Linked DNA regions of Caenorhabditis elegans. The protein of the gene in region 1 interacts with the protein of each later gene in a pairwise test. Each region holds a gene or a part of one and is shown on either strand. Other genes may lie near its edges.

Region 1 (7,946 bases):
GCAAAAAATATTTATTTATCAGTTTTAATAAGAAAAAAACGGGAAAAATCTGTGAAAAAATAAAAGAAAACAGGCGGAAAACAAAGCAAGATAAATGACCGCTGAAACTTGTCGGCCCCTACCACTATTCCTCGTCCCTCGTGAGGAAAAAGTTGCAGTGTTTTTCGGTTAAAAACCTCGAATTTCCGAGATTTGTCGATTTTCTTCGGAAAAACTATGTACTTTAACAAATTTACAGGGATTTTTTTGGAAAATTTCTGGAATTTTCCAACTTTCTCGCAAAAAATTTAAAATTATCGATTTTTTGATAATTTATCTATCAAATCAAGTGGCAGAAAGGAGAAAAACAATAAAAAGGGCAGTCCGCACGTGCAGAATTGAAGAGAAAGAGGACCTCAGCCAGGGTGAGAGAGTGTAGAGGGTGTGGAGACGCAGACACTGAAAGAAGGGGGTTCAGAGATGTGGAGAGTGCAGAGATGTTGGTGTGATGAAGACTTGGCAGTGTGCCAAATGATATTTTTTATGGAATATGATGCAATTGTGCTCTGTTGATAATTTTTGGGGTGGCAGGATTCTTTTGGGGGAAATTATTGATTTTTTTTTTCTTTAAATTTGATTTTTCTATAAAAAAAATTGGATTTTCTATAAGAATTTAGATAAATAATAGTTTTCTTATATTTGCTTTAATGATTTTTCGGCACAAATAACAGATTTTTTCAAAAAAAAATTTTTTTTTACTTTTTGGGGATTTTTATCGGAAATTTGAAAAAAACTGAAACTTACGATTTTGATGCTTCTTGAAACTATTATTTTTCGAAACTTTTTTCAAAAAAATTCTGGAAATTATTGATTTTTGTCCTAAAAATTTTTAAAACCCCGAAATTCTATCGAAAAATAATTCAACATTTTTAGATTTTGCGTGAAAACTCTGTTAGAATATCGACTTTTCTGTCAATTTTCAATTTTTTTCCGCAAAAACTGCCAGAATTTCCTCAAATAGTTCATTTTCGATTGAATTTCCAAATTAATCCGAAAAATCGATAATTTTTTGATTTTTAACTGGATTTTTCGATAGAAACGTTAACTTTGCTGACTTTCTAAAATTTTTACAAAAAAAAACATTTTAAAAAACGTTGGAAAACACATAAAATTCGAGTTTTTCGGCTGGAAATTGGGGAAAACACAAAAAAAAACAAAATGTTCTACAGTAACCTTGAAACTGCGCGTCGGGTTAGATGCATTGATACGCAATTGCGTACAATGCATTTTACTTGCCGCGCACACTTTTTGGAATTATTTTCAGCAAAAATTGCAATTTTTCAAGTATTTCAGCGAAGAAATTGAAAAAAATAAGATAATTGCAAAAATACAAGCGGGTTTTAAAGTTTTCTTTTTAAAAATCTCAAGTTTCTCAATAAAAATATAGAAAACATGTTTTAAAACAGGAATAAGCGAAAAACTATTATAATTTATTGATTTTCGCCTCCAAATCACGCTAGAAAATCAAACTGATGATCATGACAGAAAGAAATGATCGTAAAAATTGCGCTGACGACGTCACGCGACCCGCAATAAGACACACGGAGGCTAAGCACAAAATATAATGTGTTTTTTTTTCATTTGAATCTTTTTTTCAGACTTCAAAGTACGGCGTGTTGATATTGATGATCAGAAGAAAAAATCAAAACAGAAGAAAAAACAAGGACAATATAATTAAGAAAGTTGTTTTTCAGAACTTTGATCTTTTAATCTGTGTTGAAAGGTTCCCTGAGTTGTTTTTGATTTAAAATCTTAAAAAGTAGAACTAGAAATTGTTATTTTTATCAAATTATCAACAATTTCCCATTCGAATTCTCCAGGTTTCCATCAATTATTATTTTCTCGTGATTAAATCCACGTTCCTTGGCGCACGAGAAACACGCCAGCTATCGTTTGCTGGCGCGTTTCTCGTGTTGACGCGTTTCTCGATCGTTCCAACTTGCAATTTTTAAATTCAATTTTTGCCGAAATTCACTCAATTTTTAGCGATTTTTTTCGAAATTTCTAGATTTTCAGCTGAAAAATGACCACGGTCCGCCAGAGAATCGATACACAACATCGTGACGCAATTGTAAGTCGGAAAATCTGAATTTTAGCTAAGAAAATCTATTTTTTTTTTTTAAATTCTGAAAAATTGCAGCACGACGCTCAGCTCAACATCTACGGAAGCCGACTCGCCACGTGTGGATCTGACCGTCTTGTGAAGATTTTTGAGGTCAGGAAAGGCGAAAAATCTTGGATTTTCTGCAAAAATCCCAGAATTTTCATAATTTCAACGCAAAAAAAAATATAAAAATATTACAGGTTCGCCCAAATGGCCAGTCATATCCGATGGCGGAGCTTGTCGGACACAGTGGTCCCGTTTGGAAAGTCTCATGGGCTCATCCGAAATATGGAGGACTTCTTGCCTCCGCTTCCTATGATAAGTACGGAATATTTGGAAAAAAAAACGGAAAAATGATCAAAATTTGCTAGATTCGATCAGAATTTCATAAAAATACGCTAAAATCTCTGTTTTTAATCGGTTTTCAGCTCATTTTTTGGGTTTTTTGCCAAAAATTGGTTAAACAGAGTGATTTTGGAAGAAAATGGACACAAATATTGAAAAATGCAGCCTATTTCTGAAATTTCAATGAGTTTGATCATTTTTCACCGATTTTACGCTATTTTCCCTTTAAATTCACGGATTATTTAAAGAAAAATCAGTATTTTCGGTCAATTTTCACAGTTTTTTTTTGAATTTCAAGCCTAATTTCCCTCAAATCCACCAAAATTTTAAAAACTTCAACGGGTTTTATGAAATTTTTACCGATTTTCTGCAATTTTTTCCCGAATTTTAGTCGATTTCTGCCCCGATTTTTGTAATTTTTATCGATTTTATTCAATTTTCATAGTTTTTTTTTCGGAATTTTGAGCCAATTTACCCCCCAATCCAACGTTTTTTTCTGGAATTTCCATGAATTTCAGTAGTTTTTCACGGGTTTTTTGCAATTTTTAGCTCATTTTGCTCTAATTTCAGGCATTTTTCATCAATTTTCACAGATTTTCAGCCAATTTTCCCCCAAATGAATCGATTTTCTTTCCAGAAAAGTGATAATCTGGAACGAACAACAAGGCCGCTGGCAAAAAGCCTACGAATGGGCCGCTCATGAGGCCAGTACGACTTGTGTGGCCTTTGCACCACACCAATATGGCCTAATGTTGGCTTCTGCCTCTGCTGACGGTGATATCGGTATTCTTCGATACGACAATTCGAGCAACGAATGGATTTCGTCGAAAATTCAGAAATGTCATGAACAAGGAGTTAATTCAGTGTGTTGGGCACCTGGAAGTGCTGATCCGGCGGCAAAAAAACGTCTTGTTTCAGCTGGAAATGATAAAAATGTCAAGATTTGGGCTTTGTGAGTAGAGAAAATGCACTGAAAATCGATTTTTTAGATTTTTTAGATTTTTTTTGACCCGAAAAACGTGAAATTTTGACGTTTTTTCGATGGAAAATACAAAAACCGCAATTTTCTCAGGTTCTCAAAAGTCAGATTTTTTGTAAGCCTAAGCCTAAGCTTAAGCCTACGCCTACGCCTAGGCCTAAGCCTCAAATTGCCAAAACTTCTCGGAAAAAAAGTCGTAAAATTTTACTTTTTTTTCAGCAAAATTGGCAGATTTTATGAAATTTTCCCAAAAAAGTTGTATTTTTGATCCAAAATTTGTTTAAAAATCACAAATTAGTGCAGTTCTTACCGGAAATTTTTGAAAAATTCAAATTTTTCCCTCAAAATTACCTGATTTTTTGCTAAAATCACAAGAATTTCTGAGATTTTTCCCCTGAAAAAGTCAGTTTTTCTGGGATGAAAAAATTCGCAAAATAAAAATTAAATTCGGATTTTTTTTAAGGCCTAAGCCTTAGCCTAAGCCTGAATTCCAGAATTAAAAAAAATTTCCTTCTGAAAAATCAATGAAAAAATTGTTTTTTTTTCTGAAATTCTCAAAATTTACAATGTTAAAGTTAAAAATTCGACCCAATAGCGTATTTTTTCACCGAAAATTCTCAAATTTCTTAAATTTTCACCTGAAAAATCCCATTATTTTGCCAGTGACGACGCGAAAAACGAGAAAAAATGGAAATTTTTCGCCAAAGTTCCAGATTTTTCTAGAGTTTCCTTTGAAAAATCCTTTTTTTTGACAATTTTTCCGTGAAATAACCCATTTTTTCACAGTTTTCCATCAAAAAAGACTAAAAATCCGACCATTTAATAAATTTCTTTCTAAAAAATTGTAAAAGTAAAAGCGAATTCTACCCGAATTTCAGATTATCGTGTTAAATTCAAAATTTCCAGGTTTTGGATATTTTTTAACAGATATTTGTCGAATTTCCTGGATTTTCCCCCTGAAACATCCAATTTTTCGGTTTTTTGATTAAAAAAAAACTGAAAAAATCACTCAAAAAATAATTTAAACTTGAAAATTTGTCCCAAAAGCTGTTTTTTTTGCAAAAAATTCTCAAATTCCAGATTTTTCGCAGTTTCATTTCAAAAAACCCCCAAAATCGGAAATTTTTATTAATCTTTTTTGCTGAAAAATCAGAAAAAAAGTATATTCTTTCGAAATTTTTGTCGAATTTCCTGAATTTCCTCTTGAAAAATCCATTTTTTGACAATTTTTCCGCGAAATTACCCATTTTTTTACAGTGACGACGCGCTACAAACAAAATTGTTGGTGAAAATTCGAAAAAAAAAAAAAAATTTCCCCATTATAATGCAGAAATTTGGGTTCGCTTTGGAAAATCCCAATTTTGAAGCTGCCCAAAAGCTGATTTCCCACTGAATTTTGTCGAATTTATTGGGGTTTCTCACTGCAACTTTTTCCTCACGAGGGACGAGGAAAAGTGGTTTCTAGGCCATGGCCGAGGGGCCGACAAGTTTCAGCGGCCATTTATCTTGCTTTGTTTTCCGCCTGTTTTCTTTTGTTTTTCATCGATTTTTTTCGTTTTTTCTTATTAAAACTGATAAATAAATATTTTTTGCAGATGCTAAAACGATTTCCAAGTAAAAAAAAAATGTATTCAGTGGGCAAGCAGCGGTGAAAGTGGGCAATGTAAAATGATGGATTACGGGAATACAAAACCTAAACTTTTTCTGAAACATGATACATATGATGCTTAGATGCTGAAATTACCTGATTTTCATAACGAGACCGTTAAAAAAGTTTTGAGGTTTTCAAAATTCAATTTTTTGTGCGAAAATCTCGACTTTTTTACCAAAAAAGTTGAATTGTGGAAACCTCAAAACTTTTTCAGCGGACTCGTTATGAAAATCAGGTAGTCTCAGCATTTAAGCAGCATATGTATCATGTTTCAGAAAAAGTTTAGGTTTTGTATTCCCGTAATCCATCATTTTACATTGCCCACTTTCACCGCTGCTTGCCCACTGGATACATAATTTTTTAACTTGGAAATTGTTTTAGCATCTGCAAAAAATATTTATTTATCAGTTTTAATAAGAAAAAACGGGAAAAAGCTGTGAAAAACAAAAGAAAACACGCGGAAAACAAAGCAAGATAAATGGCCGCTGAAACTTGTCGGCCCCTCGGCCATGGCCTAGAAACCACTTTTCCTCGTCCCTCGTGAGGAAAAAGTTGCAGTGTTATTGGGGTTTCCTAAGAAAAATTCATTTTCTTAATGACAATTTTCCTTCGAAATCACCAATATTTTTTCCTCCAGTGACGACGCTACAAACGAATGGATTCTCGAGAAAACCCTAGCCGGACACACAGATTTTGTACGTGAAGCCGCATGGTGCCCGGTAACAAATAATGGACAACATACAATTGTTAGCTGTGGAATGGAGGGAAATTTGGTACTTTTCCGTACTTCAAATATTGAAACTGAAGAGTGGAAGGCGAAATTATTGGAGACGGCTCCGTGTGCATTGTACCATTCATCATTTTCTCCGTGTGGATCATTCCTTTCAGTTGCTGGCGATGATAATGTGGTATGGAATCGAGGATTTTTGTGTGGAATAATGTGGAAATTGGCACCGAAATTGGGAAAATTATGGATTTTTTACGTCAAAAATGGCACAATTTTTGAAAAAAAAAAGTGTACAAAAACAGCGAAAATCATCGCTTCAAAAACGGAAAATTGTCACATTTTTAGCAAAAATCGCTGAAATTTTGGATTTTTTAGCTCAAAATTATGATTTTTCGAGCAAAACCTAGAAAATTCGAAAAAATTTGGAAAAAATAGCGAAAAAAAAAAGCATTTTGGCATTAAAAAAAACGGAAAAAAATCTTACCTACCTCTAGCCGCAGTAGGCATGAGGCAGGTGGCAGGTTTTTGTGAGGAAAATTTTGATTTTTTTTTTTTTTTTTTTTTTGGTTTTAATACAACTTCTATCTTTTTTGCCCGGTTTTTCGTAATTTTAGGAAGAATTTTTCAGAATTTTCGTTGAAATTCGATTTTTTCAGGTGATTTTGATCGAAAAATGCTAAAAATATTAATTTTCGAGCAAAACCTGGAAAATTCAAAATTTTGGAAAAAAAAATCTATTGAGAACTGGCAAAAAAGTGGGAAAACAAAAAATTTTTTTTACCGGAAAATTGGCCAAAATCACTTCAAAATCAATTTTTTTTACATAAAAACCGGCGAATTTCGGTTGAAAAGTATCGATTTTTGAGCAGCACATGAAAATTTCAATTTTTATGAAAAATTTGAGAAAAAGCTACCGAAAACTTGCAAAAAAAGCATTTTGGCACGAAAAATCTGAATAAATGGAAAAAAAATACTCAAAAATTCAGAATTTGCAGTAATTTTACTGAAAATGGCGAAAAATTCGAATTTTCCGATCAAATCACCGGAATTAATTGAATTTCAACGAAAATTCTGAAAAATTCGACCTAGAATTACGAAAAACCAGACGAAATGTTCCCGCCTGCCTAATGCCTACACGTGTGCCTACCGTGCCTACAGGTAGGTAGGCAAATCTTCTTAAAAAAGTGCCGTTTCTACAAAAAAAAGCATATGATAAGCTCTGTTTGCAGGCAGGCAGGCACCTACGCCTAAAAACGCTCATTTTCCAATTTTGCAGATCACAATTTGGCGCGAAAATCTTCAGGGACAATGGATCAAAGTGCCACGTGACAATAAGGAACGCGAGGGAATGAGCCAAGCGGTCGGAGCTCCGGGAGCTCAGAGATAAATAAATTATTTATTTTTTTTCGCTGTTTCTACACCCATAATTCCTCTTAAAACTTGTATATGTACCTGTTATTATTGATTTTTTTCCTCATTTACTTCTCCGAATCCAGATATTTTATGATTTTCCTTCTTTTTCTCTCTCAAAAAACTAATGCGAAACCGGGATGAAGTTTTATTTATTTATTGATTTTTTTCGACTAAATTCAGATTTTCTCTTATTTTTGAAAAATTGGTCGCAGTAGCGCAGTCGGTTACGGGCTGGGCTGGGACGCAGAAGACCGGGGTTCGACTCCGCGTGGTGGGAATTTTCTTTATCTTAGCGTGATTGATACTGTTAACAAGCTGAAACTGAGTATAACCTGCTGGAAACTAGTGAAACTTGAAAAAAATCAGTTTTTTTTCGGAAAAATGCGGAACAGTTTTTGAAAACATGATTTTTACAAATTTCCATGCACATGTTCAAATTTCTCGCACAATTTTCGTTTATTTGACACCAATATTGGCTCATTTCCGAGGATTTTTCGAAAAATTGGTTGCAGTAGCGCAGGCGGCAACGGGCTGGGCTGGGACGCAGAAGACCGGGGTTCGACCCCGCGTGCTGGGAATAATTTTTTTCTTGGTTGATACTATTATCTAGCGGAAGTTGACCGAAATTTGTTAGAAATTAGAAATAATCTCGAATAGTTTGGGTTTTGTGTCATTTTTTTGCGGAAAA
Region 2 (7,317 bases), on another chromosome or scaffold:
CATGCCTGTTTATTCTTCTTCTTTGTGCTTGCCTGAGGCGTCCTCGCACGCCTCGCCTGCCTGGCCTACTAGAATGTGGACAAAAATTAATCAATATCAAATTTATTCTGAACGTCATTTTTCCAATAAATTACGATCCATCAGTGAGCTACTTCAATCCCATCTCCCATTTCGAACGTAATTGGTGATCTCTGAAATTTTGGAAATATACACATTTATTCAATTAGTCTCAATAAAACTCACGACGCTACTCTTTCTATAGCTTCTAACACTATTTTTATCAGTACGAATACCGTAGTGATCAGCGACCGAAGGTGAATGTTTCGCTGCTCCATTCACTGCGATAGATGCTCCTTCTGAAAATCTTTTTTCTGGAAACTGCCTGAAAATAATTGTGACCTACTGGCTACGGTATCCCACCAAGTAGTCATTCTGAGCGAGTTGTAGAGAGAAAAACCGACGAGAAGAAGCTCGAAGAGCACTGAGTACCAAGACTTTAAATATTCGAACATCAATCAGAAATATTAAGAGAAAACTCACGTCCAGTTGATACATTTTCGAATTTGCGAAATAATGGTATTCGATTAGTTTTTTGTTTTGTTTTTAATTCGATTTCAAATGTAAAATTCAAATAGTGATTTCACGGTACATTATATTTATTCATTTCAGTATATATTTATTTACCAGAGAATCAATTCAGAGCACATATTTTCTCGTCAGAACAAAGAAAAACTAGCCTACTTATTTTTCAGATAAAACCGTAACATATATAGTTGCACAACAAAAAAGAAGGAAGATACTATGGAATAATCACAGAAGTTTTTAGAGGAAACGGGCCTGACCAGATAACAGGAAATGGTTATTTGAAAGAATGATAGTGGGTGGGAGGGGGATACAAAAGGCGATGGGGACGACAACACATATAATTTGGAAGAATTGAAGCATATTAATCGTTATTCTGTTTGGATAATGATTCGGAAGGAGCCGTTGGTTCACCGCTGAATGGATCAACATATTCGGAGGAATCATCTGAAAATGAAATTAATTGAAGAAAAAACTAATTCTCAATTAATTATACCTTCAGTGGGTGCAGGCATAAAGCTGAATGACATTGGCATGGTTGGAGGCATCATCGGTGGCATTCCAGTGTCCATAGCTGGTGCTTGGCTAGTGGCCATTCCCGATTGAAGATATCGTGATCCAACTCCACTTCTAGCACTTCGCAGACTATTCGTGCTCGATTTGTTAGAATCAGGACCTCCACCCATCAAATGAGGAGCTGACATGACTGGCGGTGGAGCAGCTACGACCTCTTCTTCTACTCCAGCACCAACATATCTTTTCTGAACAGGATCCCAAACGATCTGAACAAATGAATATTTGATATTCAAAAAATCGGCTTTCAAATTAACATACACTTGGCTTTGAATCGTCAGGCAGGATCATTTGGTTTGCTGATGGAATCGATTTGATGACTTTTTCCTTAATCGATCCGAACCATCCTTTAGATGCTTTTCGTTCATTCAATGCAAGTTCAGGTTGTTTCTGTGGGACAGGCGGCGCAGTCTTTAATAATTAAAAATAATTACTTGTCATTCTGAAGGTTTCACAGAAAACTCACAGTTTTAGCATTTGGAATAGATGCTTGTCCTAGTGTTGCTTGTTGAAGAACCGGAGCAGAAGAAACGGCTGGTGGTGGTGTTGGTACACTTGGAGCTGTTGGGTTTGCAAAGTTAGGTGCAGGCGAATAAGATGGTTGAATATTTCGCGGTGCAGGTGGATATGAAGTTTGATTGCTTGGCGGTGAAGTGTCCCATAAATCATCCAGTTCCGAACGAGGACTTTTTGCAATGCTGGCGTCAACAGGTTTCGGAATAGGAATAGGTTGAGGTGATACCATGATTGGAGTACTGACAGGTGGAATAGGCATCGATAACGTTGGCATCGGTGGCTTCACAATCGCTGGAGGCGTCATCTCAGGAACAACATTTTTAGAAATTGGTGGTGGTGTTGAGATTGGTTTTTCGATAGTTTTTGGAAGGGATGGTGGTGGTGGTAAAGTGGATGAGGTCAACGTTGAAGTTCTTGATGCTGACGCAGCGACAGTAACCGAAGAATCGGATTTATCTGTAAATGTCGATTCAGATGACGATTCAGTAACCAGGGTAGGTGGAGGCAAAGAAGCACGTCCGGGTGCAATTGGTTTCTCGACAGTTTTATCGTTATGTTGTTGATCGTTACGTGATCCAATCTCCAGCGGCGCTTGATGCTCATCATGCCATTTTTTAGCTTCAGACGAAATAGATTTGTTTTCCACTGGTTGTGGCTGTGGAACATGTTGTTGAGATTCTTGAACTGGAGCTGCACCTAGCATTCCTCTCATAGTTGTAATCCAACCACTTTCATCAGGAGTTGCGGCAGCCATGTATTGAAGACTCTCAGCCAGATCGCAAAGATCAAACATTGCATTTTTATCGAAAGCTGCGACATACATCCACAACGATCTTGCTACTTCTGTACAATATCTGAACGCATCCGTAGCAAATCCACCAAAAGACGACAGCTTCTTTGCGTATTCAATACGAGCTAACTGATAATCAATCGATTTTGCTAGTGGTGAATCGACATTGTTATTTCCCAGTCGGAGAGCATAATCAAAAATATCAGTAGCATGAAGATCAGTGAATGAGAATCTGAAAAGCATGTTTTATGTTATGCATATTGTGTTAAGTAATCTTACCCAGCGGTTCCTGATAGTCCATCAACTCGATTCAACAAGTTAGATCCACTATGCACAAGGCCGATGTGCTTTCTCGAAGTTTCATCTCCGTCGTGAGCCACTGGAATAAATGGATCATAACCAGCCAGAATGCATACAACAAGGAGACAGAAATCAGCAGCACAGTTTCGTTCTCTTTTTGCTAGGAGCAAGCCGAGATGATAGATCTGAAAAAAATTTTACAGTTTTAGTTTTGCTTTTCTCCTGCCGTACCGTTTGCATAGCGGTCTGCGAGTTTAGATTCGCAAGAACAATGGCCGCATGTCGTTTCCAATTGTTGTCATCATCGAACGCCGAATTCGTCAGAATCGGAGGTGGTTGATCACTTGAAACTGCAACCAGTGTTGCGAATGGATCGTCAATGGAACGAAGATTCATAAATCGTGCCTCGATTTCCTCAATTTTCTTAGCGTCATTTGGATGCAGTCTACGGATCAATGTCATTGCGTCGGCATAGAGTCCATCGGTTATAGCACTTTCAACAGCTTCCTGAAAAATTATAATTATTTAATTAACAAGATTAGACAAAATTACATTAATGTGACCACCAAGAAGATACTTATTGAACCGCTCCTTTGCTTCGAACTTCGAACCAGACTCGGATGTCCCATTGCTTGAAATTCCAGTTTTTTCACCAAGTTCTTCCGAGGCATTTGTCAGCAGTGTTGCTACATCGGGTCCGGTGACTCTCTTAAAATGTTAAATTCCTACTAAGTTCTCAAATTAAAACAATTCTTACTCCATGTTGCTGAACCATGATTTCGAGCAATTGCCAGACGAGAAGAGCATCCACCACCTCACTTTTCTTTACGTCACCAGCATTTCTGATCTGGCGAAGAGCGTCGATTTGTCGTTGGATGTAGAGACGAACGGAATGAGTTGGAGTTTGTCCAGCAATCAGTGGTCCTTTAAAGTTCTGAACTGATTCGATCACTTTTCCAGATTGTTCATCGAAATGAAGAAATGTTTTCAGATCATCCACATGAACGCTGGATGTACTTAGAACATGTCCAGTGATACTATCGATGGTTCCCGCTGGTTTAATGATCACCAATTTTCCTCCAACACCAATGGTAGCAAACTGAAGGCAGGAGTGATAATGAAGTGGTCCGTTGCTCAACACTTCTTCGGGTTGCGAGATGTTAAGTTTTGGCTCTTCGCGTTCCTCGATTTTATGCCTATAATAATATTTTTGCTCATTGTACCGTTGGTTCCATACTCACTGATTGAAATCCAGTTTCTCGCTCTCTGCAGCTTCTTGTCGTGCTTTTTCGTACGCCAATCTGTCGGCTTCCAGTTGCTTCAGGGAGAATTCTTCTTGCATCCGCTTGCAAACCTGTAATTTAAAATATGAAGCAATTCAATTTTGTCAGTAATCTTACCTTAAAAAGTGCCAGATCTTTAGAATCACCATACCCGCGGTAGGAGTAGAATTCACGATTAAAAATTACGTGAAACTCATCAATATTGTTGTAAGGTTTGTTATTAACGGCACAGTAGAATACATAAGCGACACGGTCGATTGGCGGCATCTTATAGTATTTTTCCGGAGGAGGCATCGTTCGGAACACATGATCAACAATAGCAGAGCCAAGTTTCACAACTCCGTAGTAATAGCTTTCACTTTCGCTATTATAAACTTCAGAGGCAAGGGTATTTGTTACACTCCTGGAGCCTTGTGCTCGTCCTTCCATATAAAAATTTCGTACTTCTTCCTCTTCTTCGTCTTCTTCCAGCTCTTCTGAAGTCTTATCAGACTCTCCACTATCATATACAAAACCATTTCTCATTGAAGATGCGTTCGCATATCTTTCAGCAGCAGTTGATCGTGGTCTCACAGGCTCACGGTGGTTGTTCGGCAGCAATCCCACACCAGCACGACTATTCGCGTAATCACTCGCATATCCAGATGCATTTCGAGCTGAAGGAGCACCAGAGAAACCTTCGCTTGGGCCACGTGAAGAGTTTTGGTGATATCTGCAAATTTCCATAATTAGAAGAAGAAACTCCCTTGTTTTAAACCTTGAATAAGTACGGTCATATCCATTGAAAGTTGAGTTGAGGCCTCTTGAACCATTACTCATTCCAGTACCCTGCCGGTTACTCTTTTGAGATACTGGGCGAGCTGGTTGAATAAGAATGGGTCTTCTTGGTTGTGGAATATCGTTGTCCAGCCGACTGCGTCGAGGCCTGAAAAAAAAGCGATGAAAAGATATCGATCGGCGTGTGAAATTCTTGTATTCACTGACCTTGAATGGTTAACGGATGAAGCGTCATCATCGCCTCCTCTAGAAGACGGAGGTGAAGCATTGTAAGGATTATTCCAGTCACTCATATCGAAACCAGAAGCTGAAAATGAATAGTGATTGATAAAAATTGTTGATAAATCGAATTTTATCATACCTCCGGCATTCATTCGTTGTTCATACTTCATAGAATCGATCTGTAATAAATTAGGCGAATATACAAGTTAAGTGTCGAGATGTTAAAGTCTGTTGGGTAAATATAGAGAGGCAGAAGACAAGGGAAGAAAAGAAAAGAAGGGGCAAATTGAGGTCAACCGTGTCACTTTAGTGCCAACACGGCGACGCAAAAATGCACGGAAAGGGCTGCTGTGGGGAATATGGGAAAATGGGAAAATTGAAAACAAGAATAGTTCAGTTTTCCTTTGTTGGAAGTGATACGAACAGGTGAAAGTGAATGGGAAAATGATATGAATTTTGTTTTTTATTCTTCCAAATGGTAAAATAAATTCGGTTTTTACTTGTTTTCTTAATGGCCTTAAGATTTAAAATTACAATTTTGGGAAATCTTACCCTGTATCGCCGCATTTTCCATTCGAAATCCATAAAAATCGTGGGTTTTTGGGAATTTCCAATTTAAAGTTCAATTCAAAACGCCGCACGGATGTGTTAAAAGCGCGGTGCCACGTGAAGCCAAGCTTAAAAATAAAATAAGACAAAAAGTTCACGCGAGAAATGAATAAACGCGAAAAAAGTTCGAGGTTGAATGAAAAAAATAACTGATAGAAAAACTGTCGTCAGTTTCGGTGCTTGCGGAGTGAACATTGTGTACCGTAGCCACAAAATCGTAAAATCGAAAGCAAGGATTTATTTATTTGTTAACAGAAACAAAGTTGTTTAATAAATACGAAGATTTGTTTTTTCACGAAAAGAACTTATTTTGCTAAGGTATCTTTTATCTCCGTGTCACACCTAAACGGACCAAAAATAACGGGAAAAACAAGGAAGATGACGATAATTAATTAATGAATATACATAATAATTGTGTTAAATTAAAGGAAATAATATTAAGTAATAAAGTGGCGACAAGGAGAAGTATTCTTGGTTCTCCGCATTCGCGACAGTTCTTACAGTTTTACTGCACAACACTCCGCAAACCTAACCAACAATCGCTCTACAATATTTAGAAAAATTTGTTTCAAAACTGCTACAGTACCCCTACATTTTTTGTTAGGCCTCTCATTATATGTGTTTTGGTGAGTGCTTTATTTTTATTCTTCCAAGCTTTATTAAATTATCTCTTAGCTATCAGCTTTAAAAAACAAACATCGAATAACAATTTAAGTGAATTCATAATTTATGAAAGTTGTAGCATTATAACCCGTATATTGTCTTTGCTCGGAAAACAAGATCTGCTTGCCATGGAAGCACTGTTCCACGAATTGCACTCGTAGGAAGCCACGAATAACCGATAATTGTGGTTATTATACGTCGTTCTCGGAGAGAAATAGCCCAAACATCATGCTCCGTCCACGCGTTGTCTGTATCGTTTTCATTTTCTGCAACTTCTGAAGCCAAATGAGCAGGACTCGTGTCATTGGATGGTATTCTTTTGTCCGCAGTGATAATTGAGCTATCCAAACGTCGCATTGAAAACATCTGAAAATACATCACAAATTTTTAAAAGTAATCTTTTTGGTTACTTACATGAGCGTCAGAATCTGAAATTCCAATCATCTTCAAAATAGATGTCAGATGTTCATCTTTCGACGAGTTCTCCAGATGCCATTCATTTGGAATATTCTTCTGACTATCAACTAGAACTTGACATTTCGCTTCAACTCCACCACTCAAAACGACATAATAACAACGTCGATTAGCACCAAATCTCGGATGATTTCCTCTTCCAGCCATTCCAGTTCGACCATTCGGATTCAATGGGAAGCCGGCAGCTGAGAGCTTCCAACATTTATCATTACTACTAGTAACATCATTTGCCTGACGGCTTCTCCAAATTCGTTTTAGTTCTCCAACATTTTGCTCCGTGGCAATATCAACATACTTTTGCACATCTGATGGAAAATCTTCCGCAGGCTTACAATAGAAGGGGGGATTGTATCTAGGTACAAGCACTGTCCATGGCTTAGACACCATGTTCACACTAATCTTCAGAATGTTACTTTCTGGGTATTTCTCGAAAAATTGAAGTTCTGAAGCTTTTCGTGTACCCGAATTTTCATATGAATCTCGCAAAGTCATCATTCGAATGTGGTTCTGAAATTATTTTCAGTTTTA

What was found.
Region 2: the proteins of npp-20 (region 1) and sec-16A.1 interact in a two-hybrid assay, tested with the Caenorhabditis elegans proteins (2 studies listed by BioGRID).

What each region holds. Positions count from the first base shown.
Region 1 is NC_003282.8:1,490,124-1,498,069, reverse strand, and holds npp-20 (Protein SEC13 homolog), read left to right. Parts: upstream 1-2,047; 5' UTR 2,048-2,062; coding exon 2,063-2,110; intron 2,111-2,179; coding exon 2,180-2,254; intron 2,255-2,343; coding exon 2,344-2,465; intron 2,466-3,125; coding exon 3,126-3,440; intron 3,441-5,755; coding exon 5,756-6,026; intron 6,027-7,121; coding exon 7,122-7,232; 3' UTR 7,233-7,417; downstream 7,418-7,946.
Region 2 is NC_003281.10:9,124,132-9,131,448, reverse strand, and holds sec-16A.1 (Protein transport protein sec-16A.1), read right to left. Parts: upstream 5,611-7,317; coding exon 5,596-5,610; intron 5,223-5,595; coding exon 5,183-5,222; intron 5,129-5,182; coding exon 5,029-5,128; intron 4,970-5,028; coding exon 4,802-4,969; intron 4,757-4,801; coding exon 4,162-4,756; intron 4,116-4,161; coding exon 4,003-4,115; intron 3,958-4,002; coding exon 3,519-3,957; intron 3,470-3,518; coding exon 3,314-3,469; intron 3,269-3,313; coding exon 2,993-3,268; intron 2,947-2,992; coding exon 2,741-2,946; intron 2,694-2,740; coding exon 1,622-2,693; intron 1,567-1,621; coding exon 1,417-1,566; intron 1,365-1,416; coding exon 1,079-1,364; intron 1,030-1,078; coding exon 947-1,029; 3' UTR 642-946; downstream 1-641. Other genes in the region: ZK512.10 (DUF4752 family protein), read right to left, coding at 141-191, 244-356, 404-494, 541-555; Protein ced-11, read right to left, coding at 6,397-6,681, 6,730-7,296. UniProt on the Caenorhabditis elegans protein: Plays a role in the organization of the endoplasmic reticulum exit sites (ERES), also known as transitional endoplasmic reticulum (tER).